Arabidopsis thaliana: one gene and its partners. The protein of the gene in region 4 interacts with the protein of the main gene of each other region in a pairwise test. Each region holds a gene or a part of one and is shown on either strand. Other genes may lie near its edges.

Region 1 (6,971 bases), about 12 Mb from region 4:
TGAGATCCGAGATATATGCATTTTTAGGTATGAATGAGATGATGGATGAATTTGGTTTATGCCTAATGATTTGGAAAGGACTCCATTCGAGAGGTACACTGATGCTTTAGCCCGTGTTACCGGTCCGATGATACCGGTCCGATGATAGTGTCACAGAGGACGACAACAGAGTTGGAACTCCTGCTTTAATGTCTAGACACAATCATCACTACAACAGATTTGGAGCAGGTGAACTGTGGCCAATAGTTTGATTCTCGTATTTTTCATTTTGTTCTCTTGAATGTTATATATGCTCAGCAATAATAGAAAATTTTGAGCTTTTAATTGTTTTCATTTGAAGTAATTGATTAATAATTTTAAAAAAAAAATAAAAAAAAATAGGTGGCTATCCTCAAATTTGGAAGTATTTAAAAGTGTAGCAAATGATTTTTTTTTGGCAAAGAGAAGAAAAAGGTTGACAAACGTGTATTTGGTGAGTGTATAAACAAAAATCTTAACTATTTGGTGAGTGAATACAACTATTATTAAAACAAAACATCGCCGCTAAGGTTTTCTTTTTGGAGGAATTGAAGTTAGATCCACGTTGTTATGGCAGAAAAAGATGGTGATCGTGGAAGAGAAGAAGGCTGGAGGATGGAGATGATTGTACATTGTTAAGTTTTCTGACGGACCGATGGTTAACTTTTTGTGCAAAAATGATTGTATGCCGTGATGGTTCAGAGGGTAGTGGTGATGATTCTATCGGTTGTGGTGATGTTTATGATATAATAATTTATTTAATATGATAATATTCATTTATTACATAATAATTGAATTTATGAAAAAAGATTATCAGTTATGTGATGTATAACCGAAAACATGGTCATATATGCCAAATAAACTAAAGGATATTCAGCTTCTCGACGTATATAGATTGTATGACCACATAAATGAAGTATATAGCGTCATGTAGATAATATTATAAACCGAGAATCTCAAGTTCACCAGTCAACTAGTTCTAGTTAACCGACATTGACCAGCGAAAATATTCAGAAATAATTTTTAGTTTATTTTTAATATTAAAAAATAGATAATTTTATTTGGTATTATATAATCAAAAACACATTCTATATCTAATATAAATATATTTTGTATATATATATATTTAATGCATGAATCTGATAATAGTTAGTTTTTTTCAATTTCAAATCTAAATTAAGAGTAATTTTTTTAAGATATGAACTATTCATAATATTAATTGTTAGTGTTTTTAGAATTTAATTATTTAATTGATAAATTTTTTTAATTAATAGGTAATTGGTTTTATATTATCAATTAAAAATATTAACTTCTTATTTGATTAAATATTTTATAAAATTTCAATTTTGAATTTAAAAAATTACTATGCAAAATTTAGACTAAAAAGTTATTTAATCAAATTTTTTGCATATTATTGTTTTAATGAAACTCTTTTTCAAAAAATAAAAAGAAACTCTTATAGTCATATGTATTGGGTTTGATTCTAATGATTTATCTCCTAATGAAATAAGAATTTAATATTCTTTTAATTGATAACAAAAATGATTCCTTTATTCAATTTTTTTTTTACATTCTTAGTTTAGTTTTGAAATTGAAAAACTAACTAGTATAAGAATCAATGCATTACTTATGAATGCAAAAATATTTATATTAGATATATATTGTGTTCAGTTATTATGCAATACCAAAAAAACTAAAGTTTTTTAATAATAATAAAAAATAATTTTGAATATTTTGTTGGTCAACGCTGGAGTTAGTCGACCGGTTAATCTGAAATGCTATATTTATGATGTTGACCACATAACGCTATATACTTTCTATATGTGGCCATGCAATCTATATACATCAAGAAGCTGAATATTCTTTAATTTACTTGACATGTGTAGTCATGTGTTGCGTTATACTTCAAGTATCTAACAATCTTTTTTCTTTAATTTTTTTTGATAAATTAAATTTATTATATTACTATACTAGTTAACATATTAATCAAATAGTTATCTGCCACACAAATATTATACCTTATATAACTCGTTATTTTGTTCTTCATATGATATGATAAATGAGTTAACTCGATAAATATAAATTTAGCACATAAATTATAAACTTATTGATATATACTTTGTTATCATGATAACCCGATAGATAATCATCTAACTCACAATATGTTTTTACTCTTGTATTTAATAACCAATATATCCAGAATCAGATTAAAACGTCGATATCTATTTGTTTCTATTGCTAAACAATTTGTGATTTGTGAAAGTATGTATTTTTCCAACTTATACAAATTGTTGAGAGAGAACTAATTATACAAAAAATAGATATGTTCTTATGTTTAAGTTTTTTGGGTATTAAGATTATTATAACCCATTTTTTGGAGACATTATGTCTAATAGCACATACAAGTAAAGTAATGACTCCAAAAGCTTAGTCAAGATGTTGGTAACTATAATAGCACATATATATGTTTTGAAAAAGATCTTATAGCCATAAAAATTTGTATATTCACTATTATTGCCATTTTGAATTAAAAATGAAAGAAAAAACAGAAAATATTAAATTAAAGAAAACCTATTTTTTTTTTTTTTTTTTCGTTTGGTTAGCGACAACAGTTGAGGGCAAAAAAAACCTCCGACTATAATTTTTCTGAGGAAAACATAGTTTCTGACGAGGCTAACAATTTCAGTGATGTTTATCGAATAGCATTTCATCTACTTCCACGGTTGAGGAGTTTGATCAGGCAAGGTCTCGGATTTTAGAAGATTAGTTGTCGTAATTTTCTAGGTATTTTCAATAAGAATATCGGTTTTATCTTTTACTATGTGATATTGATAGTTGGTTTGATGGTCGAGATGTTCAGGCCGGCCGCTGCTATATCTTTGGATATTCTATTGTTCACTAGGGTTTACATAGGTTCAATCATTTAGTTTTCTTGATCATTCAAGATTGATGTTATCTAGTTTTGATCTGTTGCTTCTCGTCTCTATATTTTATATATGATCGAAATCTGCTTCTATGGTGTATTGGTGTGGTTCTATGGTTTAGCTTGGAACTCTAAGTAGTTTTTCTTGCCAGGTTATGAAGCATAGTTTAAAAAGTTGTACTACGCTTATAAAGTTTGGCTTCTTAAGAGAAGGATTTGTATGATTGTTGGCCAAAGACATCTTCGATACATTCTATCAATTTTTTAAAAAAATTCTGATTTCTTTAGTTAGTTTGATATGTCTCCATTTTATCGATTTTATTTTAAATTTTTTGAAGTTTTCACTTCTAATTTTATATTTTCAGTTCTTTTTGACCGTCAATTATTTTTTTTATCATAAAGTTTTAGATTCTAAAAATATTTATATTTTTAACCCGCATAAATTTTGTATTTAACCAAAAATTTCCCTAAGGTTTTCTTTTAACAATTTGTCCATTAGAAAAAATAAAAGACAATAAATAGTGTTTCTCCTCGATGAAGACAAAACTCCAATACTAAGAATAAAAAAAATAAAAACCAAAAAGCAAAAGGGATAACACAAAACCCCTTTCACCTTCCCAATTCCACCACCACACAGACAAAGCACACCGAAAATGGCGGTTTCTTCTGGAACATTCTCCACTTTCCTCTGCATCAAAACGACATCTTTCCGCAACCCATCAACTCCTCTGTCCTCTCTCCGGTTCGCCTCTCACCCGGCGGCTAAACTACGCTTGGTTCGAGCGGTAACATCTGCGACGGAATCTTCAGAGCCAACCGCAACCAATAAGAGAGTGCCACGCGGTATCATGAAACCTAGACCAGTTTCACCAGAGATGCAAGACATCGTCGAACTTCCTGAAATCGCTCGCACACAAGCTCTTAAGCGTATTTGGGCTTACATCAAAGAACATGACCTTCAGGTAACTTAACAACCAAGAATCTCTCTCAGAAACACTCTGGTTTTGGTTTCTCTTATGGTTTTGTTTCGCTTTCTTCAATCCGGTGGTTTGATATTTTAGGGTTTCTGTAGGAAAATTGAACGGTCTGGATTCAAGAAGACAGAAATTGAATTAGGTTGTCTTCTTGTTAGTTATGTAACTTGTAAGTTTTCTTTAGATTAGGAAGCTGAAAATATTTTGGTGACTAATTGCTTCATATGATTTTGGGGGTAGTTGTTTATAACGTTTTGTATAAGCAAATTTGATTCTTTGATTGCGTCTCGTTTACTTGCTTGGCTATGTGTATCCTTAGAGATAACTAATAATCTTCTCTGGGCTATGTTCTTGAACCTTGTTGCCTAGTTTGACCAAAATCCTAATATGTTCTGTCATTGGCTTTGTATCTCTGATGTTTTGATCTCTGCTTCTTGGTATTGTTGCTGTTTGGTTCAGGTTCTCTAAGTATGAAATGGAACTTTTTTCAGCTCTTGAAATTCTAGTTCTATAGTGTTTAAATGTGGATGCTGTTTCTCTGCAAGATTTATAGTCTATAGCAACCAAGTAGCCAAAACTTTACTCTAGTAGAAAGCTCTGTATTATTCTCATTGACATGTCTTGAGGTTTCAAAGTTTAAAGAACCAATTTAGCTACGGTACTTCAAGATGTTTTACTTGCATCAAAGTTTTACTAAATGACTAATTTTGTTCTTTAGGACCCACAAAACAAGAGAGAAATACTGTGTGATGAGAAGCTGAAGAAGATATTCGAAGGAAGAGATCGGGTTGGGTTCCTAGAGATTGCAAAGCTCATCGGTCCTCACTTCCTCTGATGGATTGTTTCCGCGGAACTTTATTTGGATGATTGTCTATGTTTTGTTGTTGACCTGTTATGGCCATGAAAAGAGAAGGGTATTTGAAGTTGAGGAAGACTTAGATTAGTAAATTAGGTTTTTTTTTGGTTGCTTCAATTCAATGGATGTTATGTAGTCGTTGCTTCCTAATGTTGTTTGCGTTTTCGTTTCGATTTCAGATTCTATTTTTCTTGTTTGACTAACGGTAAACGGCTTTTGACAACATGTTTTTCCGTTTATTTAGTTTTCGAAATTCACACATGTTAGTTACGTTTTATAATCATGTACATACTCCGTTGAGAAGAGATTGAGGTAAGGTTTGGAAGACATATCTACTAGGCTCAGGGATTTGTGGTATGATACTAATGACGTATATACTTAGAAACGGTTGACAAAAGAGCGAGAAAATTTACATTTTTCACTTCACTCGCTATATTACGAACTCATATTACCTCTGGATAGATTGAATCTCGTTTTGTCTAGAAAATTAACCATTTTACCATTTACAAATATCAAATAATTTAGTATTAATTTGGGTTTAGCCTATAGATATGTGAAACTAGGAATCAAAATATCTAAATATGGGTTTTAGGTTCGGCCCATTGAAACTTGTCTGTCTCTCCTTCTCATCTGTAAAGTAGAAGGCTTTTTTTGTTTTTAGTCGGCCAAATTCCATTAAAACGGAAGCCCAATGGGCAGTACAAAGAAGTGAAAATTACATAAGCCCATTCTCCAACATATACATCCTTGATTAGGTTAACAACTGCTTAATCTTAAACTAAATAAAGTAAAAGATTAAGAAAATAAGGAGCCACCACGTGTAACACCACGTGTAACACCACGTGTTAACACATAAGAAGGAGAAGGAGAAGCAGTCGGCGCCGGGCAAATCTGCGAGTTGACTCAGCACCTCCGTTGGCTTCAAGCAACCACCACCGTACTCCTTCTACAGTTTTCGTCTTGCAGATCTGATGAACAATCACCGGTTCCGTCTGAAAGAAGCTCAAAGAAGACTTGAAGAAATCTTTATCCCTTAACCCAATCTCCTAAATTGGAAGCTCCGCCTGAGACCAAAAGAAAGTCCTCGACTACAACAGAGTCATATGAAGCGGCGAAGATGTTACTCCGATCAAAGAGAGGAGGCAAGCCGACGGTAGGAGGAAGAGATCCAGAGATCGCAAGAGGATAATGGATTGAAAGCCTTGTAGAAAGAGGAAACAAAAAAAACTTGATCCAATCTTAAGTAACCAAATTGGATCTTATTAGATCCGGATTAACCGGAGATTGGTCCGACGAAGCGGAAAAACAACAATCTGACTGCAGTCGGAAAACTTCTATATTACAGAACAAAAGCGGCGGCGATAATTCCGGTGAACCGGAAATCTCCCTCTCTCTCTAAAGGATAGAGGTGTGTTAAGAGAGAGAAGCCCTTGGTCTGGTAAAAAGTGTGTTTTTCAACGTGAACTAACGACAAATACCGATTTATACGTAAACAAGTAATTTAAAAGAAAACTACATGAACTATTAATATAGTGTTTAACTACAAGTCAATGTTAAAAGATGTCAGTCAACGCTAGTGATTGTTGACTCAGTTGATACATATATATTGAAGTAGCATATTCTTCAACTAAAATGACATCGGTTTGCTATTTTGAAATCAATTTCTTTATTTTTTAAATGTAAAAATGGTATTCGAACTGGAAACCCGTTGTAAAACTATAAAGATGTTGTGTTTTCGGATTTAAATTCGTATAACCTTTAAGATGGATATGTTGTGTCTTCGGATTTAATTGTTGTGTCCTTGGATTTCAACTAATGTCTTAATGTTATATTGTGTCTTCTTTCTCTCGATCACAGTCTCTGTTTTTCAATTTCTTGTTTGTGTTTCGAATGAAAAAAATTGAAGAAGAAGAAGAAAACAAAATTCCTAGGTTTATTGATTTTCTCCTATGTTTTATTAATATATAAAAAATATGAGAGTTGCAGTTTTATTGGAAATATGGTTGTTGTTCAATGGTAACGAACAAAAGCAACGGGTCTCTGGTTCGAATATATATTTTCACAATTTTTTTTAAAATAAATTCAAAATAGCAAAACAAGGTCGTTTTAGTTGAAGAATATGCCTCGTTGATACTCACGGGTCAGCTGAGTCATCAGTAGTTAGCGTTGACTAACAGATGTTTCAAGTCAAACTTCTTGC
Region 2 (10,292 bases), on a different chromosome or scaffold from region 4:
GCACCAAGAAATGCGTCTGTCTTTACATGGTCTTTGACCCACAATTTATACCCAAAGAATACATTTAATACCTATTTACTCACAATCATTCTATCTTAAATGTGTCCGTTTCTAGCCTTCGAATTAACTATTTGAACGTTGGAACTTGAATCCACTCCGAGCTTTTCTTGACTTCACCTTTCGGCCCATTCGGCCTCTTCAATCCGGGTAGTCTTGACTTCGATGATGTATTCACTTCGCAACTCAACACCTCATCCATACTCTCACCTCGAGGACGTTTATGGGCCTTTCTCTTATGGGCTTCTTTTACCCACGTAGCAATCTTTGGCCGGATCCGAGCCCATGATGCGGGATCCGACACCAACATTAACTATGATTTAAATATAGGTTTTAGAGTCCTTTTAGAGTCTTTTAAGGTATTCTTTGGATTGGGACAAGAATGGAGTTAAGGAGACAATTTGGAGCAAATGCTAAAGAAACTAAGCCAAATGACGAATTTAGTTTCAGATCAAGTCGAGAGTGTCGATCGACACACTCTTGGTGTCGATCGACACCAGTTGCGCCCTAATAATGTAACCTACACGTTTTTAGGTTATATATATATATATATATATATATATATATAGTTTTAAGGTCATTGTTGTGACCTAACAAGTTTTTAGCCACCTAACTTGTTCTAAAGCATTTTATAAGCTATTTATACATTGGATTCATTTTTCTGAGTTTTATCAGAGATTTCAATAATACCGAAGAGATATTTTCTAACTCTTTCTTCTTATTGATTTTGTTTATGCTTTCTCATTCATAAATGTTGTTTGTTTCATCCATCATGTATGAGTAGTCTACTTGTTAGGGTTAGGGTTTCTCATTAGGGATTTAGATGATTTAGTAGATTGTTCACCTGCTAGGATATATGTAGGATTTTTCATCTTTGGTTATTCTTAATGCTAGTTCTAGAGTAACTAATTAGAACTTAATCTTAAATAATAGGTATGCCCAAAAAGGTATATGTTACCAGAAATACTATTTGATGAGCCAAGTTTATAGATGTGAAATAAGAATCGGCCTATCTATTTAGGTGAACTTATCAAACTCGTTTATCATGCATGTCTTAATATAGGGATTTGCCAAGCGACCGCTGGGAATCTTTAGCCCTAGGCATATTGAGTAGCACGGCGAACCACCGCTTATTCTGTAATTAGGGTTTGAGTTTAAGAACGATTCGATAACATCCTAGCTATTTCTATATCTCTTATCATCTATTTCCTGAGAATACCCTAAACCTAACGTTTTTATTATCTTGTCTTACAACTTCACAATCCACTATCTACTTACTTGCTTTCTTTTTATTTTCTTATCATCTATCTAGCTTGATTTTGATACTTTAGCCTATTGTGTGAACAAAAGAGTTTTGTGGAATTTTACCCTTAAGTACTAACGACGATCTCTTATTTGAGGGAGTAAACTTAGAGCAATTTGACCTACATCAAATTCCATTGTTGTACGTGTACGGTTTCCACCCCATCTAAGCAACGATATTTCATCCTTATTGACTACGTTCCTATATCGCTCTCCAAAGCATTTGACTGAATCATATGCCCAAGCCTGTAACATGAAAACCATACCACTGATGGTGTACGACTTTCCAATAGGCCTCAACATCTTTATAGCATTAACCAACGAGACACCAAATCTCCTTCAAAAGTATTATTAACTGTCTACTTAATAGAAAATGTACAGTCTTACGAGACCACACGAATTGACTATTCGATAACTTAGTAATTATTCCAATAGGTGCCTCCTTCATTTGATCCCACACATCTTATCATACTAATTCTCTAAATCCCATAGAAATATGTCATCTTGATATTGTGATTAATGAGTTTATTCTCTAGATTAGACTCTCCTTCTGCGTAAATTCTTAGAGGGTAATCCTTTGCTTGTTCTTCAGAAATAACCTTAGCCATCTAATAAACCATAAATCAGCCATAACCATACATTAACTCAGCCACAACATAAAACAAATTTAGCCACAGATGCATTGATAAATCATAACTCAGTCAAACATACAATAACTCATCCACAACATAAAACAAACCTAGCCACATATGCATTGATAAATCATAAATCAGTCATAAAACATACAGTAACCAAGCCACAACACAAAACAAACTCAACCACATATGCATTAATAAATCATAAATCAGTCCTAAAGCATACAATAACTCAGCCATCAAATCGAATAGAAATAACAAATCAGCCACCATATGTAAATCGACGGCAAAAATCAGCCGTAATAAGCGTCGATAAAAACCATCAATATCATAACAGTGGTTTTAGAAAATGGTTTTAATCATGGGAATCACTTGCTATTGAACTTAGATGTCTGATTATTGTCGGAAAAATCGAAATAAAGATTTGACACATATCGAAACAAGTTGAGTTGAGACGAAATGTGACTCGATGACAACGACGTTAAAAGTTTCGGGCGGAAGAGACGAGAGAAAGAGAGAATAGCCACGAGAAATAGGTTTTCTTCGTTTTCGGATAAACACCTAGTAAAAGAGAAGACATTTTTTTTTCCCAAGATGAACAATGTCTGGGAGGAAAACCAAAATGTTCCTCTTAGTGACGTTAATAATGTGGCTTTATTTTTTTTTCTCTCTTAATAACGTGATTCATCATTATTTCGTTAATTATTTTTAATTAAAAAAGAATAAAAATGTTTTAACTAAAAAATACTAATCAAAAATGTTAATTGTAATTATATAAAAGCACTATATATATGAATAATTTTCAGAAAATGTAAATATTTCTATATTTAGATTGAGGAATAAACTTAAAAGCATCGCATGCTCATGTGTTGGTTTGTGATGAGTTTGGACTAAAGTTCACGATGAACCGTGGTTTTGAGGATCGTGATAGCTGCAATATGAGAAAAAGTAGGGTTAAGTTTTGTGATGACAGAATATGGCGAATTCTAGGTTTGAGGATTGTAATGATAAGAATATGCTTAACCAGATTTCCAAAAATTATTTACTTATAATGACAATAGTATGTTGGGAAAAAAAAATATGTTAAACTATGCTTTAAAAGTTTTTACTACTGGTATGAAAGTCGAGATTTGGTGCTACGAGTTTGATCTCTCTGACAAATTTTTTGCGTATACATATTATTTTATTTCTCATTTTTAAAATGGATCGATCTACAAATATTTGTGTTTAGCCAATAGTTTACCATATACAAAAAATTTACTAATGTTCGCGGAAGGAAATAAACTTAGCAAATATATTGTTGAATTCTTAATGATATATAACACTATTTTAAATATAAAAAATCGTCAAAATATAAATCTAGTGATTTATAATAATATAGCTGTTATATTGCCATTATAATTCAAAATCTGCATATCAAAAGAAAGAAATTTTGAAATATGTCACCATACTGAACCAATACTTTTCCTAAAAAATATAAAATTGAAGCTATTTCACAAACAAATCTGCATCTATTAAGAATAAACAAAAACAAATAATAACAAATCTTGACAAAAGAAAATAAAAATAGGAAAAAAACATACCTTCACAACCTGGGTCCCCCACCTCGGAGAAGTATGTCTTTATCTACACTTTTTGTCCTTTGTTTCCTCTCTCCCCCACCATTCTTTCTCCTCTCTCCGCTTCTTCTTCTTCCCCTGTTCCTCTTATAACCCCTCTCGTCTCATGTCTACCTCCTCCTCTTCTTCCGACAACGGAGCCGGTGGAAGCGGCGGCGTTTTCGAGGCCCCATCTCCATCCCGCCCTCGCCGCGGAGCCAACGATGTTTGGCCGGAGCCTTTTCTTGAATCTCTCGCCGTTCAAGTTGCCGTTAACGCTTCCACATCCGCCGGCCTCCTCGCCGCAGCTCCGGCTCTTGCCAACGTTTTTCGGGTCAGTTCTAACGTTCTTTGAATACCTTCTTTTAGTTTTGTAACGGTCGAGACACATCAATTATCTCGTGTCTCTCTATATATATATGTACTTCAGGTAGTAAAGTAATATTTTCGTTACACTATCTGAATTCGTTTATTAGCTTATATTTGAACTTGAAAATAGTGAGACATAGATCTTATGCAGACAAAACAAAGTCAAAGTAGTCGTGGGTCTATAATAACTTAAGTGGAGGGACACAATCTTGGTCTAGTCAAATGTACTGCTTGTTTCAAGTGTCTTGTACTTTAGTTGTTTCTAAGCTTAGATTTGATTCTGCCGTTCTAATTCTTTTTGGTATAACGAATTCTTACTCTTTAGATCATAATTAAGTGATGATGTTACTTCAATTCGATTGAATGTGATATTAGTTTGTAAGGTTGGGATTCTGAAGAGACAAAAAAAAAAAAAAACTGACCTTTGGAAAGGTAACCGCCCTTTCTGTGTTTCTATGATGGGTCCAAGTCCAACTTTTATGTCTAACAAGACGACATTAATTTGATGTCTCTTTCACATATCATATAGTTTGGGGACTTTGTTTTTCTTTTATGTATTTAGAAACTTTTTGTCTTCCATTTTTACCCAATAAGTTTATTTCTTTTTCATTGTTCTCTCGTCTACTTTTGATACCTTTTAATGTCTATTTTTGGATCCTCTAAGGAGACCATACAACCCCATCTCGTTTGTGTAATCTTTGTACAACATTTGGGCATAGTAACTCTAATATTAATATTATATTATGAATTGGATCCCTTAGGGCACAAAATCAAGGTTTTATTTTATTTTATTGGCTTTAAATCTTCCTTTCTTGGCATGTAGAAAGCCCTTTTTTAAGATCAAGAAATCCACTTTTTGACTCAAAAGTTCTTACAATAATAATCAAATTAAACACTTTCTTGTCTCCAAATATTGGTTGATAGACATTAGGCACAGTCTTTAGTCCAATGCCCAATAGATTTAATATTTTTTAGAATTATAATTATAACGGTATTTATCTGCTAATTGTTTTAAAATTATAATAATAGAAAGTGACCTCTCACGACAGACTCATAAAACTAGAAAATGTCGTTGCACATTTAACAACATCTAAAAAGAGAATGAAAAGAAACCTAAGTAAGGTCCTGTCTTTTTGCCTTGCCAATGTTAGTCCTATATTACCACATTAGGTTATTTTCTACATACATGAAAACTCTATTCATCAACAGATATATGATCCATGTATTATATCAGGCATTCATATTATTCTTTTTAATAATCCTATGTTATATATGAAAATAGCTGTTTTTTCTTTTGTTCATAAAAAAACAAATAATACATATATATATTATGCTGAAGATTTTTCTCATATATAGTAACGAGGAATAGTATATAAGTACATATGTACATTTTTTGCGTCCTGCTTTTGTTATTTTTTTCTCTGCCAATATTATGATCCACTGAGTAATGCATGCAGAGCTTCTGACAACTTCTCATTCTCTTATTTTATCTCACTTCTCTATGTATACATGATAATTCTAAATCATTATTAAATCCCATAATATTTTCTAATTAATTGAATTTTCAAATTTGCCCTAAAATTTTAAGAAACTGCAGTGTAGTTACAGCATAACACTTTTGTCAGAGAATTAAGGCTATAAGTCTAGAGTTTTCATTGTTGTTTTTTACTTTGAAATTGATCATGGAATTATCTTTTTTCCTGACTCGATTCATCTTTTCCATTGAAGTGGGTTTTTATCTTTTTTTTTTCTTTCCTTAATTTTTTTCAGTCAAAAGAGACGACATTATGGGCATACATATGCCGAAAAGCACATGGAACCCAATGTTAAGGGTCTCTTAGAGCACGTGCAGTGGTGTCTATAGATTATATACTATGTTCTTACATTTGATATATCACACATTAAAATACAAAAGTGATATTCTGAATCTGGTCATCTTAGAACTCAGGAATATTTGAACTACTTTCTTTCCCTTCTTATTTGAAGTATATCATATTGATGTGATTGGTAATTTGCATAATAATAAATAGGATTTGCCATTCCATCATATGTTATTTGTTGTACTAATCTATTTTATGTTACATTTCGTGCCCTAGTGCCTAGATTATTCTTTTTTTATAATGATTATCTGACTAATAGACATTAAACCTTTGGTTTGACAAGATATCTTTTCTTTTCGTATAGAATTCGAAATATTTGATTTTAGGTTGTACTATAGAGCTAGAGTACGAAGTCAAATACATTACTTTGCGTTTAATGAGGAATAAAGATGTACAATAAATAACAATATAAACGTAAATGTAGAGAATGTAGGTCCACGGATTGTTGGAGAGGGATGAGAGAGACAGAGAAACATCTACTATATATAAGTGTAATATTTGTGTATTTATGGGAAGCTCTACTTTTAACAAGACCAAAGGCTTAAAAGCTATCCTTTCTTGGAAATGAAAGAGAGAAGGGCACGCTTGTTGGCAAAGTCGGAATCTCATGTTCAGCTTAACTCATTTAAAGTCTTCTCATCTGTCCTAATAAATTAACATATCATCTGTTTTGTATTATTGTCACATTGATTTGTTTTTTGTTCTTTTGACATGGGACTAGGGCTTCCTCTCATTATTCCTTTTACACTAGGGCTTCTGTTGTTATATCTCTATCTATAGCTTCCAGAGATTGATTAGTCCCGTCAATTGAACATATGTCATAAAATAGATTTTTATAAAAATGAGTTGTGTGTTTCGATGAGTAAGACAAATATTACGCAGAGCTTGTGTCTGAGTCTGTCGTTGTCTTTCCATCTTCCTAGTCCCTATATATAGAGTCTTTCATGCTTCGTTGCAGGCCTACTTATCTTCTTTCTATGTCTTTTTTTACTCTCTCCCTTATTTATACATTTATTAATTAAGCTACTAATTATAATATTTGTTAAAACTTATAATAATTTTTCTTAATCGCAGGTTTGCACCACGTGGCACGCTGTCTCTCGCTCCGACCATCTATGGCAACTACTATCTCGCCAAGTTTGGGCAAGAACACATTTGATGCACGACACGTGGCGGGACGAGTTCATCTACCGTCATCGGACGGCTAGAAACTTCCGGACGCGTACTCACACCTACTTCACTCTCCAATTTGACCCGTCTGATGTGGACGAGCCTGATAGTCTCTCTTGCCGTTGTCTCACCCTCTCAGACCTCTACTTAGCCGCAGGGTTCGCCGACGGAACCGTCCGGCTTTTTCTTTTAAACAACCGACTCCACGTCAGGACCTTACGGCCACCTCTACGTGACCGCTTTGGTAGATTCTCACGAGCCGTCTCAGGCATTGTTATCTCCGACTCAAGGCTCACGTTCGCTACGATGGACGGAGACATCCACGTGGCGGAAATAGACGGTGTTGGTCACACACGCACGGCTTACGCAGGAGATATAGTTAACGACGGTGCGTTGGTAGATTTCACTGGCTGTGGACGTTGGTGGGTCGGTCTTTTCGCGGGTGTGCCAGGTCGTGCCTTTCACATATGGGACTGTAACAGCGAAGAGACAACATTCGTCGGTGGTACACTCACCGACCCTGAAGCTGTCATGGGATGGCACACGTTAACAGAGCTAACAACGTCCCTTGGCCGTCTCAGAATCTCCGGTAACGAGACGGCGGTAGCATGCACGAGATGGAGAATCATGGTGATCGATCTAAGAAACCAAGGAGTGATCATCGGAGAAGACGAAGAGCAACGTAGAGGACTAATAGTGACAGGCTTCGATGCCAACGACGAAGCGTACGTTAGATTGGACAGTAGAGGAAACGCTAGCGTGCGAAGGGTGAACACGCAACAAACGGTGTGTGAGTTCCGTGTTAGTGGAGCGGCGCAGAGAAGAGTAATGGGTTGTGTTAATAGACTGCACGCGCTAATGTGCGCAGGTGGTATAATGCGCGTGTGGGAGGTAGAGAGAGGAGAGTATCTGTACAGTATTAGGGAGAGAGTAGGAGAAGTTGACGCCATTGTTGCCGATGATAGACATGTGGCGGTTGCGTCAGCTTCATCAACGGCTCAGAGTATTATACATCTATGGGATTTCGGTGCACTGTAGCGTACCAGATTAATAATTTTTTTTTTTTAACTTGAAGAAAAAGAAACTATTTTTCTCTGAAAAAGCGAAACCCTAAACCTAGGTGTATATGTAGGGTTTCTGATTATAAATTAAATTGGGAAAGTGACGGAGGGAAGATGGTGACAGGAGGGTGAGATTTACAAGGGAGATTGATTCTTTCTACAGAGTTTGACCAAAAAAGTAAGTTACTGTTTTTGTCTAAAACCAAACAAAGTGGACTTTTTCTTGTTGTTCTTGTTTTTTTCCTTGTGTTTAGGGCTCTCTCAATTCTGACTTTGTACGAGATGTCTTTTTTTTTTCTTCTACTTGTAATTCTTCACTTTACTGGAGTTTATTATTTTGTATAATGGGTTTTAAATACATTTTGTGTAAAAAATATATTTTACAGGAGGTGTAGACAGAAACAAGATCAAAATCGAAAGAATGGTATAGAAATATGAATCATGAGATCTAGATGTGATTTGAGCATATCCCAATTTTAGGATATATTGGAGTGAATTGATAAGTAAAATGTTCAACAAGTTATTCATAAACAATAACATAAGAAAAGAGCATAATTGGACACACCCAATATACAAACAAAACGGCTAATCTCATTGAACAAACAAGATGATAAAGAGTGAAAATCAAAATTTTCCAAGTTTGAAATAGCGTTAGAAGCAAGTTCGAGAAGACCAAACACACGCCAATTCAAGAAAAAGTTGCACTCTACATAAAATTTGAGATGGTAACCATATATTGTGACTTTAAATCATAGTTCAAAACTTGGATTCTCACAAGAATGAGTCACGTTGTACCTACCGGTCCCTAAAAAACCATCACATAAGAACACAAACAGTTAGGATCTAAAACATGTTATTTAGAAACGAATTCGTAAGGACAGTTCTCAAAGAGAGGGAAATATCAATTTGATATTTATGTATATGAAATTACAAGATGTTTGATATAATGCCACGTTTATTTTGTCTTTTAAACAGATTCATGTGTTTGAATTTTCACATCTATTATCTTAATTAAGTCCACAAGGCTTTGTATTGGAATTTGCAGGGACAAATCAACTTATGCAAATAATATGACTCTTGAGAGACCATTGATGCATGTTTCATTATTAGCGAATGTGCCAGTCTTTTAAGTTTCAGGTATGCGGATTTGATTGTATGATTTCTAGTGTTTTTCATGTTTTTTTTTTGTTATATATAATGTCTAATGGGCTATTTCTAGATAGAGCATATACAAAATCGCAAAAACCCAATCCACAAACTTCAATACAATAAACAAAGCAGCTCAAAACTAAAGCCATCTCAAATTTACAAACCGAATTTAACTAACCAAGATTGAAAACCCTAATCTCAATCAAAAAACATGATCGAGCCGCCGTCCAAAACTGCAGATTCTCGCTGAAATAGGACAGCCAAACGAGATGGTGATCCAAAATTTGTTGCCATGCCGCCACTGTAGAGTTGTTTTGAGAAGGAGGAAGAGAGCCGATCTCGTTTTTGTTGAAGAGATCCTTGCTCAGTCATGAAAGAGAGAAAATAGTAGGGAATAGAAAACAGAGACCTTCGACGTTGGCTTCGCTTTGCCGGATCAAATATACCTCCCCCATCGACAAAGATCTCGTGGAACCGCCACAATTTTCGGTCTCAGATCTATCTACTTGTCTCTCTCGTTCTTCGCCGTAGATCTCCCTTTTCTACTCTGCATCGCTACACCGCATGTGGAGCTCTTACCGTTGGTATCAGGCGGAAGCTTCTCCCCTCCACATCTCCTTGATTTTAGTCGGATTGCTTTGCCTGAAAAATGCAGCATGTTACAGATGACGAACTATGAGCTTTTGGGTCCTCATCTTATTTTTTTTTTTTCTCAAACAATAATTTTCATTCACTTAAGCCTAAAAAAAGGGAAGTTCATACAAATTAGAACTAAGATAGTACAAGAAAATGAAGATAGAGGCTTCATGAGTTTTGCAAAGAGGTGTTCACTTTTAAAAAAGTTTACAAGGTTTGAAAAATCTGTTGAGGCTTTGGCGGATTCGACCATGAAGACGGGCTTCGCGAAATCCTCGACCAACGTGTGGTCATAAACGGCTATTGCAAACAATGCATATGAGCCTTTGAAAAGGTGCTCCACGGGAGAAAATAAAGGGTAGATCATAACGCCGCTCTTTGCCAAGCTTTCACAGATTTGCAACTTATCCGTATACTTGAAGATACCTTGAAGGA
Region 3 (7,216 bases), on a different chromosome or scaffold from region 4:
CCGTCTTATGAGAAATATTTGTATGTGGAAAGACGTCATGGAGCTTCCGGTCTTGGAGAAGTTGGCTCTGAGTGACCTTTTGTTTGGAAAAGTTTTACCTCATGTCAGAAGCATTGCATCAGAATCAAATATCCATGATGCTGTGACAAAAACTGAAAGGATCGTTGCTTCTTTGTCTGGAGTATGGACTGGACCAAGTGTCACAAGAACCCACAGGTAACTTTAATCTCTTTGAACAGTAACATCAGAAAATTTGCTTTGACTCGCACACATCAAGGTTACTCATAGTCCAGGGCTGTGAAATTGAGCTTGTGATGTCGCATAGTATGTCCCATTTCAGTTATAACAATCAGTCTGCATGAAAAATTAAGCTACTGTTTTGATACGATTGCCAACGTGAGAGTGAGAAACTAAGATGTGTGTCTACATTAAAACAAAACAAAAAAAAACGGGTCTACGCACGTCCAAAGTATCATTAACCTATCTTCATTTGGTTCCCCATGATATCCACATCTCAGATTAGGACATTACCACTTTGTGTTGCAACTTTGCTTTGATGCATACTCACATGCATGTTTTATTTGATTTTTCAGTCATCTGCTGCAACCCCTTGTGGATTGTACTCTGACACTTGGAAGAATACTCGAGAAAAAGGTTTGCCTCGGGACTGGTCGATACGGAAACCACTGGTCTCGCCCGCAGGTTAAAGAAAATACTTGTTGAGCTCCATGAACATGGACACGCTGAGGAAATTGTCAGATCATTCAGTCTCTAGGAGGATGTTGATCTCCAGCTAACCGATCCGTTTTCCGTAAGGATAAAAGTTATTTAACAATGAATTCGGATTGGATGTTGATCTCCAGCTAACCGAAACCGTTTTCCGTAAGTGACCCAAAATTAAGGCCCAAACGTGACCCATTATTTCCTAAGTTGTTGTGTCGAGAAAGACAAATTGGGCCGATGTTTTTAAGTTGCGGTGACGAATTGATTGAGAGAGAGGGACAAAATGGTGTGACAAATGGATGTATTTATTTGATTTTTTTTTTTTGCAATTAGCAAGTAGTTTGGTTTTTGAAGAAACTTTGCAAGTTGTTTATTACACACGATTATAAGAGGTATGAGCTTTGAGTAAATTCGATTTAGAAACTCGGAAGGTTGGAGAAATCTATCATAAACTTATAATTCACTACTCAAACATTCCAATTAAAATGCTAGAATTAACTACAATATATGCACGGTTTCAAACGAATGTTATATAGTAAGACTTTTGTCATACGCACGCACATAAGAATAAGACAAGTAGTCATATGAATAGAGAATAGTATGTAGTATATGTGATACTAATTGTTGTTAACGATAGGTTCTAAGTTCCGACAATGAGGTCCCAAGTTGTCTCCTCCTTATCCAAATTCTCAAGTATATTCCAATGTAAATTTCTAGAAACGACAAAACATAAAGGTAATAATCCATCACCAAAACATTATATTTGCATAATTTGGGTCAAGTTCGGCAGCTATAACATCAAGCTCCACGAAGCTTCCTATTTCAATTCACACCGCGACTAAATTAACAAACAACTGCAAAAAAACTATAAAGTCGATTTCTCTCTTTATCATAAAAATTCAGATCAAGTCCAGATCCAATTGATCTGAATTTTATAATAGGAACAAATCATGCGTTACGATGTCTTTTATATATTTTCTTGTTTTCTTTTTTTGGTTTAATATTAGTGGTCATATCTTTTATTCTAGACTTGACTGTTATCATCTAAAACGACAGAAAAAAATGAAGTCGTCAGTGCACGAAAATTATTTAGCTAAAAGCCTAAAAGATGTGTATGAAATGATACGACTTATATAACTTGCATTCTTATATCGATAAAGAATCCTTATTGACAACAACAAAAAGTCATGTTTGACCACAAATATTTCGTATTATAATTAATTTGGCTACTAAGGGACTTTTAATAGTAAAAGGAAAAGACCATGATCTTATAAAACATTACGTTGAATCGATCATAATTAGTTTATAATATGATAGAAAACGTAAGTGATGATGATCATAAAACGGGGAACAAGCCCACGTCATGCTTGCATACACACCTACCTCAACTTTACATTTAAAGATTTTAAAATAGAAGAGGATTCATGGGCATTATTTGCTAGTGAATCAAACTTATGAATTATAAATTAAGTCTGTAATGAAAGCGGCTCAATGGGTACTTAATTAAGGATTAAGCTAGTGGTTAAATAGTTGTCCTTAACACATATTTTTATGTAACGGGGAAACTCAAACTAAAGCGCAAACGCTTTCTTTGCGAACTCCAATGTTTTTATTTATGTGAATGTAGTATTATTAGTCGAGAGTATTTATAATTAGTGACTATGATTGGCGATTGCAACTTTAAATGACGTCATCCATCATGACGCAAAGCTTCGCCTGAAGAAGGAAATTAATCAGCTGCGGAGATGCTCACCGTAGTTTCATCAAACTGTCCAATCACCAGTCAAAACTACAACTTCCGCCCCAAGAAATGCTGACTTATCTTCAGCAAGGTTACAATAATGTGTCAATTTCAATATCATAAAAAAGTAGTGGCTGCTGAGATTTTTCTTTTTAAATCTTAGTGGTAAATCTTAGTGGTAAGTAAAGGAACAAAAGCGATAAGCTACACTGAGAAGCAGGAGATTACGGTTTGACATATAAAGGCATTTCCATCTACGAGAAATCCACAAAATTTCTCAAACAAAAAAAATATTAATATTATATTATAATTTAATTATTTAATTAAAAAAGTATTTTTGTTAAAAAATTGAACCAATAGTAAGATGAGAATTGTCATGATGGGTTGTAAAGTATCTCAAAGTTTCTCAAGTAAGAAACTTTCTACACTCTCTTTCCCAATGGAGATGGTCTAAAGTCGGTCAACAATTCACAAAAGGTTTAAGTGACGCAAGCAATGACAACATCTAAGTCGACTATCCAATAATATTACGCCACGTATATATCCAGCTGGCTGCGGTCAGCGTAGAAAAGAAAACGGTCTGTTTTGCCGCACGTGCTTGAAAATCCCCTCGTGTCATCTCTTTTCTGTTTTTTGTGTTTTTTCAATTTAAATTAATTAAAACATTTCGGCGATTTTCGTCCTTATAAAACCTTCGTCGCCTCACTCACATATCCTCGATTACAATCTTGAGCAGACGAAGAAAACCCAAAAAAAATCCAGATCCAGCTGAAATTGAATTTTCAACCAACGAAGAAGAGATTTTTCCAAGAGCAACAGACAAGAAGAAGAGAATGAAGTCGGAGCTAAATTTACCAGCTGGGTTCCGATTCCATCCAACGGACGAGGAGCTTGTGAAATTCTACTTGTGCCGGAAATGTGCTTCCGAGCAGATCTCGGCTCCGGTTATCGCCGAGATTGATCTCTACAAGTTCAATCCTTGGGAGCTTCCAGGTACACCTATGGGCTTCTTCTAATTATTTTTCGCGAAATCATGTGTCTTCGAGAATCGTTGTTTATTGAGATGTTTGTTCTTCTTTCAGAGATGTCTCTGTACGGAGAGAAAGAGTGGTACTTCTTCTCACCTAGAGATCGGAAATACCCAAACGGTTCGCGTCCTAACCGGGCAGCAGGAACCGGTTATTGGAAAGCTACCGGAGCAGATAAACCGATTGGTAAACCGAAGACGTTGGGTATCAAGAAAGCACTCGTCTTCTACGCAGGGAAAGCTCCAAAAGGGATTAAGACCAATTGGATAATGCATGAGTATCGTCTCGCTAATGTTGATAGATCAGCTTCTGTTAACAAAAAGAACAACCTACGAGTAAGTTCTGTTTCTTATTAACTTATGTATCATCTTTTCGTGAATGATGATTTAGATTATTAACTTTGTTGTGGTGGGTTTTGCTGTACAGCTTGATGATTGGGTTTTATGTCGAATATACAACAAGAAAGGAACCATGGAGAAGTATTTCCCCGCGGATGAGAAGCCGAGGACCACGACAATGGCTGAACAGTCATCATCACCTTTTGATACATCAGACTCGACTTACCCGACATTGCAAGAGGATGATTCCAGCAGCTCAGGTGGTCACGGTCACGTGGTGTCACCGGATGTTTTGGAGGTTCAGAGCGAGCCTAAATGGGGAGAGCTTGAGGATGCTTTGGAAGCTTTTGATACTTCAATGTTTGGTAGTTCCATGGAGTTGTTGCAGCCTGACGCTTTTGTCCCTCAGTTCTTGTATCAGTCTGATTATTTCACTTCCTTCCAGGATCCGCCTGAGCAGAAACCATTCTTGAATTGGAGTTTTGCTCCACAGGGGTAAAAACGGAAGAGACCAAAAAAGGTGTTTGCTAGTAGTACTGTGATGTGCCAGAGAGAAGAGTCTCATCTCAACTCATCCCTGGCTCTTAGTAGTAAAAGAAGATTGTAGAATGTTAATAGCTTTTAGCATCAATGTCTCATTAGCAGGCACATTCTTGTTCTTTCATGAGAAGTTTATATGAAAACTAAAAATTTATATTCAAATTCTTCAAGATGTTGCACTTATGTAGATACTGATATTAAATAACAACCTAACCTTTATGAGATATCATGCTCTCCGGAAGCATTTTTTGATGAGTATCATCAGCTGAATCGAGGCGATTTCCTCACAGCTGTTATTCCTATGTCTCTGAGACTTTTGATTCTCGTTTTCTTGACCTGAGGTTTCTTTTTGGAAGACTTCTCTCTTTCCTTCTGTTCAAGCTGTGTGGAGGGTTTTTCAGATCCATTATTCCCACGAGGAGTCTTCATTTTGGGATCCTCTTTGCATAATCCTTTGCTTATACCTTCGAGTTCACATCCTGGAGATACAGAATATGGAACCACGGTTTCATCACATGAATCGATGATCTCAGAGAGCTGGCTTTGTAACTTTTGGGCAGCCTTCCACAGTTCTCTGCAGCTTTCCTGTGGATAAAGAAAAGGAGACAACAAAAAAACATTCAGAACCTGTTTTTCATCAGCTCAAAAACATATCAGTGACATGACGTAACAGGGATTTTTGTCCTCACCATTGATAAAGGCAAACGAGAAACATCATCAATTTCTGAAACAGCTTTGTTCTGCTGGTCTTTCTCTTTGCACTGTTTTAGCATTTTCCTATTTTTCCAACCCCAAAGAGAAACATGAAAATCATTAAGCTAATTCAAAGATGAATAGAAAAACAGGCAACAAAAGGGATCAGAGCTTACTCTAGAGCAATGATATTGCTGCATGCTTCGGTTTGGCACTCCCAAAGTTTTTTATATGCTTCACTCGTGACTTCCACATTTTCTTTCGTTGTGTTAGATGTTCTGCGCAGTTTTGCTTTTCTCACTATTGAGCTTGTTTCCATTGCTTCTTTACCCGACTCTTCCATCAACACATCATTCTGCTTATATAGAACAGCCACTTCATATAATTCACCTCCTCTACTGTTTGCTTCAATCCTAGCTTCATTCTCACTATTTTCTACATCTACTACTTCAACAACTCCCTCTTTCCTAGGAATTTGAACAGTCGAATCCCTTAAACCTGCTTTGAATCCATTATCTTCTGTGTCCATTACTTCAATGACGTTAATGACACAACATGCTTTACGTTTGGAGCCGGTTCGGGATTTAGTCAAACTCTGTTCTTCCAACAAAACAACCTTAGGATCCCCAGACTTCAAAATTTCAACACTTTCTTCCTTGTTTTGGCAAGTCATAACCTCATCCGCCGCACGCTGATCATTTGTTCTCACTGTTATCAGATCGCTCTTTCTCTGAACATCAGTGGAAGCAACAGTCTTCTTCTCACCCGGGAGAGAGTAACAGTCGTTGTTGCAGTCACAAAGTATCTCTCTTTTCTCCACAAGCTTAGCTAAATGATGACTAAGCAAATTCGTGTGAGCAAATGGCAAGTTCTTGTATTTCGACTTTATAAACTCAGATATAGCATCTTCACTTGCGCCACCTTCTTTATTCAAATCCATGATAGCAATAAATATCATCTGAAACAAATGTATACAGTCATAAGAACACAGCAGAGATATGTATGTGTGTATATGCACATAATAGATGTTATAATTTCATACATACAGCGGAATAAGTGGGATGATCAGGAGTACGGGATAAACACAGATCCAAGAATTTCTGTTGGAAGAGTTTAGTCTCAGGAAGGGAAAAGTCTCTTGAATTCGCCAAATTCACCATAAAACCTCTCAGATTCTCAACTTTTCTTTCATGTGCCTGTTCGTCAACAAAAATTGTTCATAGTTAACATTCAGTCAGATTCAATGCATAAACAAGTGCTCAAAATTGTGGAATCAAGCAATTAAACTTATGAACAACTCAAACATTACATGATCGTACAAATTTTCCAACGAGACTTAGAGGAGTATACAGATCCATAAAAACTACCATCAGAAAACACTGAATCACCGAAATAGAAACTTTTTGTAAGTAAGAAATTAGTGATTTCAAACCCAATTTGAAACCTAAATCACAAACACGTTGATAAATGCTGACGGAACTAAGAAAACCTTGAAAATAAGCGGAATAGTGAAAGAGCATGATAAATTACATAGAAACGAAGAAGATAAGAAGCAATAGTTACAAACCATAGACATTAATGTAGCAGAAGCCGCCATTGGAGAAGAATCGAAGCTCTGCAGTGTACACAGAGTCGGCGCTTAAACCTCGGGGAAGTAACAAACATGTTATGGGACAAGCCAAACTAATATCGAATTGAACCAAATGAAATCGGAATAAACCGATCCAAATAGAGTATGTTCTTTAATTTAAACCGATGGGTTATGTTTGGTTCAAGTAAAGCTACCCTAAAGGGGAAATAAAAAGCAAAAACAACGAACGAAGAAGACGAGAGATCAGAAATCGGAAATGCTTCCATTAAAGCTTGCTCGATCTCTTCTTCTCCACGAGACTCTCAATCTCACTCATAATTCCGGCGATACAGACGACGTTGATGAAGACGGAGAAACCAGTATCCGGCAAATTCTAAGCTCCTACAAGCAATCAAAAACCCGATCGAGATCCGATAACAACAAGACGAGAAATTCGAAAACCCCATTGCTATACTTCGTTCCAACACGAGAATTGATCTCAGATACATACCGATTAGCAACAATCGGGAGAGATCTAGGTATGGATATGTACCCAACACCATCACTCTCTCACATCATCTTC
Region 4 (6,777 bases):
GCTCTGTCTGATACCTGTTGGAAACCAAATAATTGAGTAAGAAAGCTATAGCATCTATGAAAAGAGAGGCCACACCAGTTGAGAAAAAGAAACACGAACATTTTGAAGCGGTCCTCATAAGTTACCAAATTCACAGCCAACCCAAGGTGTCCAAATCGTCCTGATCTGCCTACCTGGTAATATAATGAAGCAAAAACCCATTCACAATTTGAACAAATAAAACAGAGCAGGTTCTCAAGAAGATAAACCAAAATCGGCTTCCCTTAACATACCCTATGTAGATACGACTCAGAAGTCCTAGGAAAATCGAAATTTATCACCACATTCACAGCTTGAATGTCAATCCCACGTGTAAACAAATCTGCAACAGACAGACATTCCCCGTGAAACATAAACACATTTGTCAATGTTCAAGCACATGAAATACACAAAACGTACCAGTGCAAACAAGATTTCTGCATGCACCATTGCGGAAATCATGGAAAACCCTGTTCCGATGGTCTTGAACCATCTTTGCATGGATATAGAAGCATGAGTAACCAAGTTCTGTAATTTTCTTGGCCAACAGCTCAACACGATTAACAGAGTTGCAAAAGATAATGGATTGGTTTATTTGGAGCTGCAATAGATAAAACAATATTTCCTTTAAAAGATACATCAAGTAGCCAGAAAATAAAACATTGGGGTTTTAAGACTGTAACAAAACTCTGACCTTAGAGAATAGCGTGTTAAGGCAGTGCACCTTCTGTCTCTCTTCAACAAAAGCATAATATTGGGTAACACCCATAAGTGTGAGCTGATCCATGAGATTGATAATGTAAGGCTTCTTGAGATACCGATCCTTGAAAGACTTCACAGTGACAGGAAATGTAGCTGAAAACATCAAAATCTGCCGGCTCTCTGGCAAGAACTGTATCAACTCCTCTATAGAAGGTTGAAATTCTACAGACAAAAGCTTGTCGGCCTGAAAAAAGATGTTTGCGAGTTAAGACCATGAGCTCATGAGGAAAAGAAAATTATTCAATCAAAATCTGCAAATATGAAGCATAAGAGGAATCGATTTTGTTTTAACTTTAGAGAAAGTTATGTTCAGGGAAAAACTAGAAATGTCCTTTTGGGCAAAAATCCAACAATGTTTGTTAATAAGAAAAATCTAGCTCAGGGGTAATAGAATTAGGAACTCACCTCATCCATTACAAGCATGGCACAATCTTTCAAAACACACACACCCTTTTTGGCAAGATCTAATATTCTTCCAGGAGTTCCAACCAGTAAATGGACAGGTTGATACAATCGCATGATATCATCCCTCAGACTGGTACCGCCAGTGGTGACCATAACCTCAATTTTCAAATATTTGGAAAGCTCCTTGCAAACCTGGGATGTCTGAAGGGCGAGCTCTCGGGTTGGAACTAGAATTACGGCTGCATAAGAAAAAAGATCAACAAAAGTACTGAAAACTCAGTAAGAAAGTAGGGTTTCACTGGAAGTTCCACTGATCAACTAACTCACTACAGAGAAAGGTAGGAGATCTTTTAACAGAGAAAAGTTCTAAAAGGAAAGTAAAAAACCTTGAATGACATTGTTCTCTGGATCAATTTTCTCAAGGGTAGGAATGCAGAAGGCACCAGTCTTCCCAGTACCATTTTTGGCTCTAGCAAGAATATCACTACCAGTCAAAGCAATGGGAATGCTTTCTTCCTGAATAGGAGATGGTTTTTCAAAACCCTTCTCATATATTCCCCTAAGCAGATCCCTCTTCAAAAAGTAATCTTCAAATTCATTTCCTTTAGTGGCAGTCACATCCTGAAGACAAGATATGGAAAAACTAAGTTCTAAGGGAACTGCTGTCTTGTCAAAACAAAAATCATATAACTATGCAATCATTCATACCTCTGTCTGGTAACGATTATCTCGTGGTGGCAGCTTTAAGGTTGCTTTCCAGTCTTCATTACTGATAAGCATAAGAAAACACATAACCCGTTAAACATCACAACAAGAGCACCATTCATAATAACCATTCTTCCAAACGAGCACTTACTTAGAATCGCTAATAGCTTCAGATTGAACCGTTTTTTCGACCTCATCTATGTAACTTGGATCACCAGGAAGCTGAGCCCGTCGAGACCATTGTTGTTCTTGCTGCTGCTGTTGTTGTTGTTGTTGCTGCTGCAGTTGCTGTTGCTGTTGAATCTGCTGGGGATAACCTCGCTGAACGTACTGCTGAGCATCAGATTGAGACTGGAGATACTGAGGAGGCTGAGGCTGAGGTTGCTGTGGAAACGGAGTCCGTGACTGAAGGTACTGTTGAGGCTGAGGTGGATTCGGATTCCGTGACTGAAAATTAGGATCCGGACCAGGACCCGCCGCACCAATCCCCGGTGGAAATCTTCCTCTATTATTATTATTATTATTCATCTCGATCTCGAAACAGAGAACTCTAATTCTACCAAGAAATCTTCACAAGCTCACAAATCGTAAATCTAAGAAGAGGCTATAAACAACAATCTGGAGAATGTTAGGTCACACGTAGCTTCGTAAGAGATGATTGATTGATTGATTGATTGGACTCTCTCTCTCGGGGGAGGGCAAGATCGGAATATGCTAACAATTATCCACAAAACCGTTTCCGCCAGAAACTAATCGAGCTTAGCTAAGATGAATAATTTTCTTTTGTCGTCTGGTTGGTTAGTGAGAAAGTGAAAGATACATACACTCGCCGGAGTCGTTGTTGTTGTTTAGGTCGTCAAGTGGATTTTCATTACACGGACAGGCTCTTCTTCAGTTTCACTCACTCTTATCCACATTTATTTCACTAAATTAGCCTTGTACGTTCGTATAATTATGAAATAACCCCCACATTTCTTTGTATTTATCATTATTCTCTCGTAATTTTTAAAAATAGATCTTCGGATCTTCCGCAAACAGAGCGTACGGCTGAAAACGTCGATACCCTTCATTGTGCTCGGAGTCTAAAATTGTAAAATTGAAATTAGAATTTTGATGATCGACAATGATTGAATGGCTTCTCCTCTTTCGAATCTCTACCACTAGAACCAAAATTACCACAAATTCTCATTTCTTCAAGAATTTTTGATAAATAAGACAGAGAACTTGAGAGATGAAAAGAAAAAAACACAAAACCTGGTGTTTTTTCTCTCGTCGTCGTTTGGTCGTGTCCTAAGACAAGAACCGGCGAACGAAGAACAAACTTTTTGAATCTAACATCCGAAAGAAAGAGAGAAAATGTCGTTTACAGGAACATTGGATAAATGCAAGGCCTGTGACAAAACCGTGTACGTGATGGATTTGTTAACATTAGAGGGTAATACTTATCACAAATCATGTTTCAGATGCACCCATTGCAAAGGCACTCTCGTGGTATTTCTCTTTTCTTCTTCTTCCTCCATTGTTACTCTGTTTTTCGACAATGCTTCATTGTTTTAAAAGACCACATCTTTTCTTAACACAGATAAGCAATTACTCATCAATGGATGGAGTTCTTTACTGTAAGCCACACTTCGAACAGCTTTTCAAAGAATCTGGCAATTACAGCAAGAATTTTCAGGCAGGAAAGACCGAGAAGCCCAATGATCATCTGGTAATGTCTTCAAAGATTCATCATCTTGTTTTTATTTCCTCTTTTTTTTCATCTGATTTGTCTCAATTGATGGATACTGCAAGACTCGAACTCCAAGCAAGTTATCATCATTCTTCAGTGGAACACAAGACAAATGTGCGACTTGTAAGAAGACGGTTTACCCACTTGAGAAAGTAACAATGGAAGGAGAAAGTTACCACAAGACTTGCTTCAGGTGCACACACAGTGGTTGTCCTTTGACTCACTCTTCTTACGCTTCTCTTAATGGCGTCCTCTACTGTAAAGTCCACTTCAATCAGCTCTTTCTCGAGAAAGGCAGTTACAATCACGTCCATCAAGCCGCTGCTAACCACCGTCGATCCGCCTCTTCTGGTGGCGCTTCTCCTCCTTCTGATGATCACAAACCTGACGACACCGCCTCAATTCCCGAAGCAAAAGAAGATGACGCTGCCCCTGAAGCTGCAGGAGAAGAGGAGCCTGAGCCGGTCGTTGAGTCTTGAAAATGTCGTGGAGGAATGATCTTATCAGTTCTCAAGTTTGAAGTTTTTATATGCGTTTCTGTTTAATGAATATATAAATACAAATTGTTGTTGTTTCTTCTTGTAAATTCTTGTAAAGTTTTAAAGCTCTTTTTGGAGAGAATCTGTTGTAAACAAAATCTTTAACATCCAATTTTTTTTGAAGAGGATATTTTTAACCTTTAGTTTTAAAACTTTGAGGACCATGTTCTGAAACAAAAGGTTATAACAAGATATTTTATTTGATGAATCAAAATTCAAAACATACGGTATAGATAGCATTCAAACACACTTCTCTCCATTTCTTGTAATCAAGAGTTGTGAGATTTCGCCAAAGAAGAATCAAACTCTTGACACTGTGTTCTTGAGATGAGTAGTGTTTCAAGACATGAACAGAGCCTTGCATTTTGCCACTGTGTCATCTGGACTCGTAACTGCAACAACAGAAACAATCCTATTTGTCATGAAAATATCTCGCAACACAAACATACAGAGATTAAACGATAATATATCCAAGTAGCTGACCTGAATGGCCAATTGTTTTTGGTGATTCATAGATTTCATAGTCATTTCCACCCTGCAGAAGTAAAAGCCATATTTTTACCCATCAAGCTCAACGGAAACCATACAACAACTCTAATGAATAGATTTGCAGAGTTGAGATGAGTCTTATACCTCATAGGTCTTGTCACCGAAGAAATGGATTTCACTGAAGTCCTCGAGGTATTGCAAGCAGTAAGTCTTATCCCAACCTTTAGGGAAGACCTAAGTCATAACAATTTGATTAGACTCAGTGACTCAAAAAATGGATTTAAGAAATTGTTATAATCCACATTTTGATTCTACTCACATCGAAGCTTATCTGTCCCCCAATTGAGAAAGTAAGGTTAAGATGTGCAAACCGCTCACGAAGTTCAGCTACCATCTTTGGTCGGATGTTTTGAACCTTTTAAAAAAAGTGTTGAATGACAATGCTCAAAATATATTCTATAAGAAATTGAACAAACTAAATATAGTTTCTTCTACCTTATCATATCTCTCAAATTCATCTCTTTCTTCTTGGCTGCAGTTGCGACCAATGGGTGATACATTGAGCATTCCATTTCGGAATTCAATAAATGTTCCCCTATGTATACAAATTTCAAGAAAATAAATCATCTTATCACTTTGCAAACATGATTAGAGACTAGCAGTTGGATCCACGTTATACCTCTTAATTGGAATATCCAGGTCTGCAATGTAGTGCAGCGTGAAATTTATCAACTCCTGCATCATCAATTTACGCTATCAGAAACTATCTATATACATATATACTTGCATACACTTCAACATCAATAAAACCACTAAAGCAACTGCTGCTACGACACATGAAGGACAGTGATATGAGTTTACCTTGAGTTTATCGTCTCCAAGGTGCAGCTTCAGGCTCTGAGAAAAAAGATACAAACTATTAAGAAACGATAAAACAACAATGTGGATGTAAGTAAGTAAAGCTATAGGTTCATATGCACCTGAATTCCAATGGATTTCCCATCTTTATGGGCGACAAGACCATTCTCAGAGAAACAATAATCATAGTCGTTTGTGACTGCAAAATTTACAAATTCAAAAGTTTAAGCCAAGAGAATCTCACAAGGCAAGAAAATTAGAGCCAGATCTAAAACTCCTTCTTGAACTAAGACTTAGGTAAATCAAACTCATTCCACAATTTGAACTCAACCAACTTAATGATCAGCAGCTATCCCAAATTCCAAATCTACAGACTTCAAGGATCTTCTGTATGCATGCTACTAATGGATCTAGTCAAAGATTTGAAGCAGAGAAAATCTATATAGTTTGTCTCCACTTTTAAAGGATCCATCCATATATAGTAGAAAAGAGCAAAAGAGACCATTCTAATAGAAGTAGGAAAATATCCTTTCTTTGAATACCAAATCGAAAATTCTACAGCAGGTTATAGTTTTTCCGATCCGATCACAGTCGTACCTGTTTTGCCAAGCTGCTCAGATATCTTACTTAGATCAGATCCACCGACGACTCCAATAGTGACGACCTGAAACTCTCACATACATTATATCAAACACTAAGTAGGCATAAACACAACCAACAGAAACGGAACTTAGCAACGATGGATCAATGAGATACCTTTCGCAATTCTCGGATAAAATCGAGCAATTCTGGAGTAGCTTCCTTCCTTGGAGCTGTGAGAGTACCGTCGACGTCGAACAAAGCGATCACTCCGGGAATTTTCGCCGCCATTGAATCCGGTGGTAGGGAATGATGAAGAGTTTTCAAATTAGAAGATGATAATGGCGGAACATGTAAATATATAAATTGGACCGATCTAATCTTTATTCTTTAACCAAAGAGTGTCGCTTAAACTATGGGTCCTCACTTTTTCTCCTAGAGATCAGTGATTGGTTGATAAAATAATCGTGACACATCAAAATTATTCTTTTCTAACAATCCTTATTTATGTTATATAAAGGGTACTTGGACGTTGTTGACCCAAAAAACATGAAATAGTATTGAGGCCGAAAACAATTAATTTTATGAAGAAGCAATTTGGGCCAGTACTACTAATGGTTTTCGCCTTTTTGGGCCATCCGGTTTATATTTGTATATCATTATGCAAATTGGGAAATATGACTTTATAAC

Evidence for each region.
Region 1: the proteins of PLIM2a (region 4) and AT2G14880 interact in a two-hybrid assay, tested with the Arabidopsis thaliana proteins (one large-scale study listed by BioGRID).
Region 2: the proteins of PLIM2a (region 4) and SAP interact in a two-hybrid assay, tested with the Arabidopsis thaliana proteins (one large-scale study listed by BioGRID).
Region 3: the proteins of PLIM2a (region 4) and ATAF2 interact in a two-hybrid assay, tested with the Arabidopsis thaliana proteins (one large-scale study listed by BioGRID).

What each region holds. Positions count from the first base shown.
Region 1 is NC_003071.7:6,391,465-6,398,435, reverse strand, and holds AT2G14880 (SWIB/MDM2 domain superfamily protein), read left to right. Parts: upstream 1-3,435; 5' UTR 3,436-3,594; coding exon 3,595-3,903; coding exon of another isoform or gene 3,904-3,912; exon of another isoform or gene 3,913-4,084; intron 4,085-4,633; coding exon 4,634-4,750; 3' UTR 4,751-5,126; downstream 5,127-6,971. Other genes in the region: AT2G14870 (RNA-binding (RRM/RBD/RNP motifs) family protein), read right to left, coding at 6,959-6,971.
Region 2 is NC_003076.8:13,934,214-13,944,505, reverse strand, and holds SAP (Transducin/WD40 repeat-like superfamily protein), read left to right. Parts: upstream 1-3,638; 5' UTR 3,639-3,719; coding exon 3,720-3,926; intron 3,927-6,915; coding exon 6,916-8,049; 3' UTR 8,050-8,420; downstream 8,421-10,292. Other genes in the region: AT5G35760 (Beta-galactosidase related protein), read right to left, coding at 9,724-9,863, 10,005-10,292. UniProt on the Arabidopsis thaliana protein: Transcriptional regulator involved in the specification of floral identity. Acts as A class cadastral protein by repressing the C class floral homeotic gene AGAMOUS in the external flower organs in association with APETALA2 and other repressors.
Region 3 is NC_003076.8:2,856,226-2,863,441, reverse strand, and holds ATAF2 (NAC (No Apical Meristem) domain transcriptional regulator superfamily protein), read left to right. Parts: upstream 1-2,883; 5' UTR 2,884-3,297; coding exon 3,298-3,457; intron 3,458-3,546; coding exon 3,547-3,827; intron 3,828-3,918; coding exon 3,919-4,329; 3' UTR 4,330-4,593; downstream 4,594-7,216. Other genes in the region: AT5G09210 (GC-rich sequence DNA-binding factor-like protein), read left to right, coding at 1-216, 594-723; AT5G08780 (winged-helix DNA-binding transcription factor family protein), read right to left, coding at 4,632-4,955, 5,060-5,147, 5,240-6,021, 6,110-6,259, 6,631-6,660; AT5G08770 (topoisomerase I damage affected-like protein), read left to right, coding at 6,911-7,216.
Region 4 is NC_003071.7:18,855,477-18,862,253, reverse strand, and holds PLIM2a (GATA type zinc finger transcription factor family protein), read left to right. Parts: upstream 1-2,975; 5' UTR 2,976-3,246; coding exon 3,247-3,381; exon of another isoform or gene 3,382-3,430; coding exon of another isoform or gene 3,431-3,472; coding exon 3,473-3,601; exon of another isoform or gene 3,602-3,684; coding exon 3,685-4,101; 3' UTR 4,102-4,313; downstream 4,314-6,777. Other genes in the region: AT2G45810 (DEA(D/H)-box RNA helicase family protein), read right to left, coding at 1-14, 100-173, 273-361, 439-619, 713-964, 1,186-1,424, 1,572-1,806, 1,894-1,954 and 1 more; PMM (phosphomannomutase), read right to left, coding at 4,501-4,553, 4,645-4,696, 4,795-4,884, 4,970-5,065, 5,146-5,245, 5,330-5,385, 5,512-5,547, 5,631-5,707 and 2 more. UniProt on the Arabidopsis thaliana protein: Binds to actin filaments and promotes cross-linking into thick bundles. Has an actin-stabilizing activity. The actin regulatory activities are inhibited by pH > 6.8 but are [Ca(2+)] independent.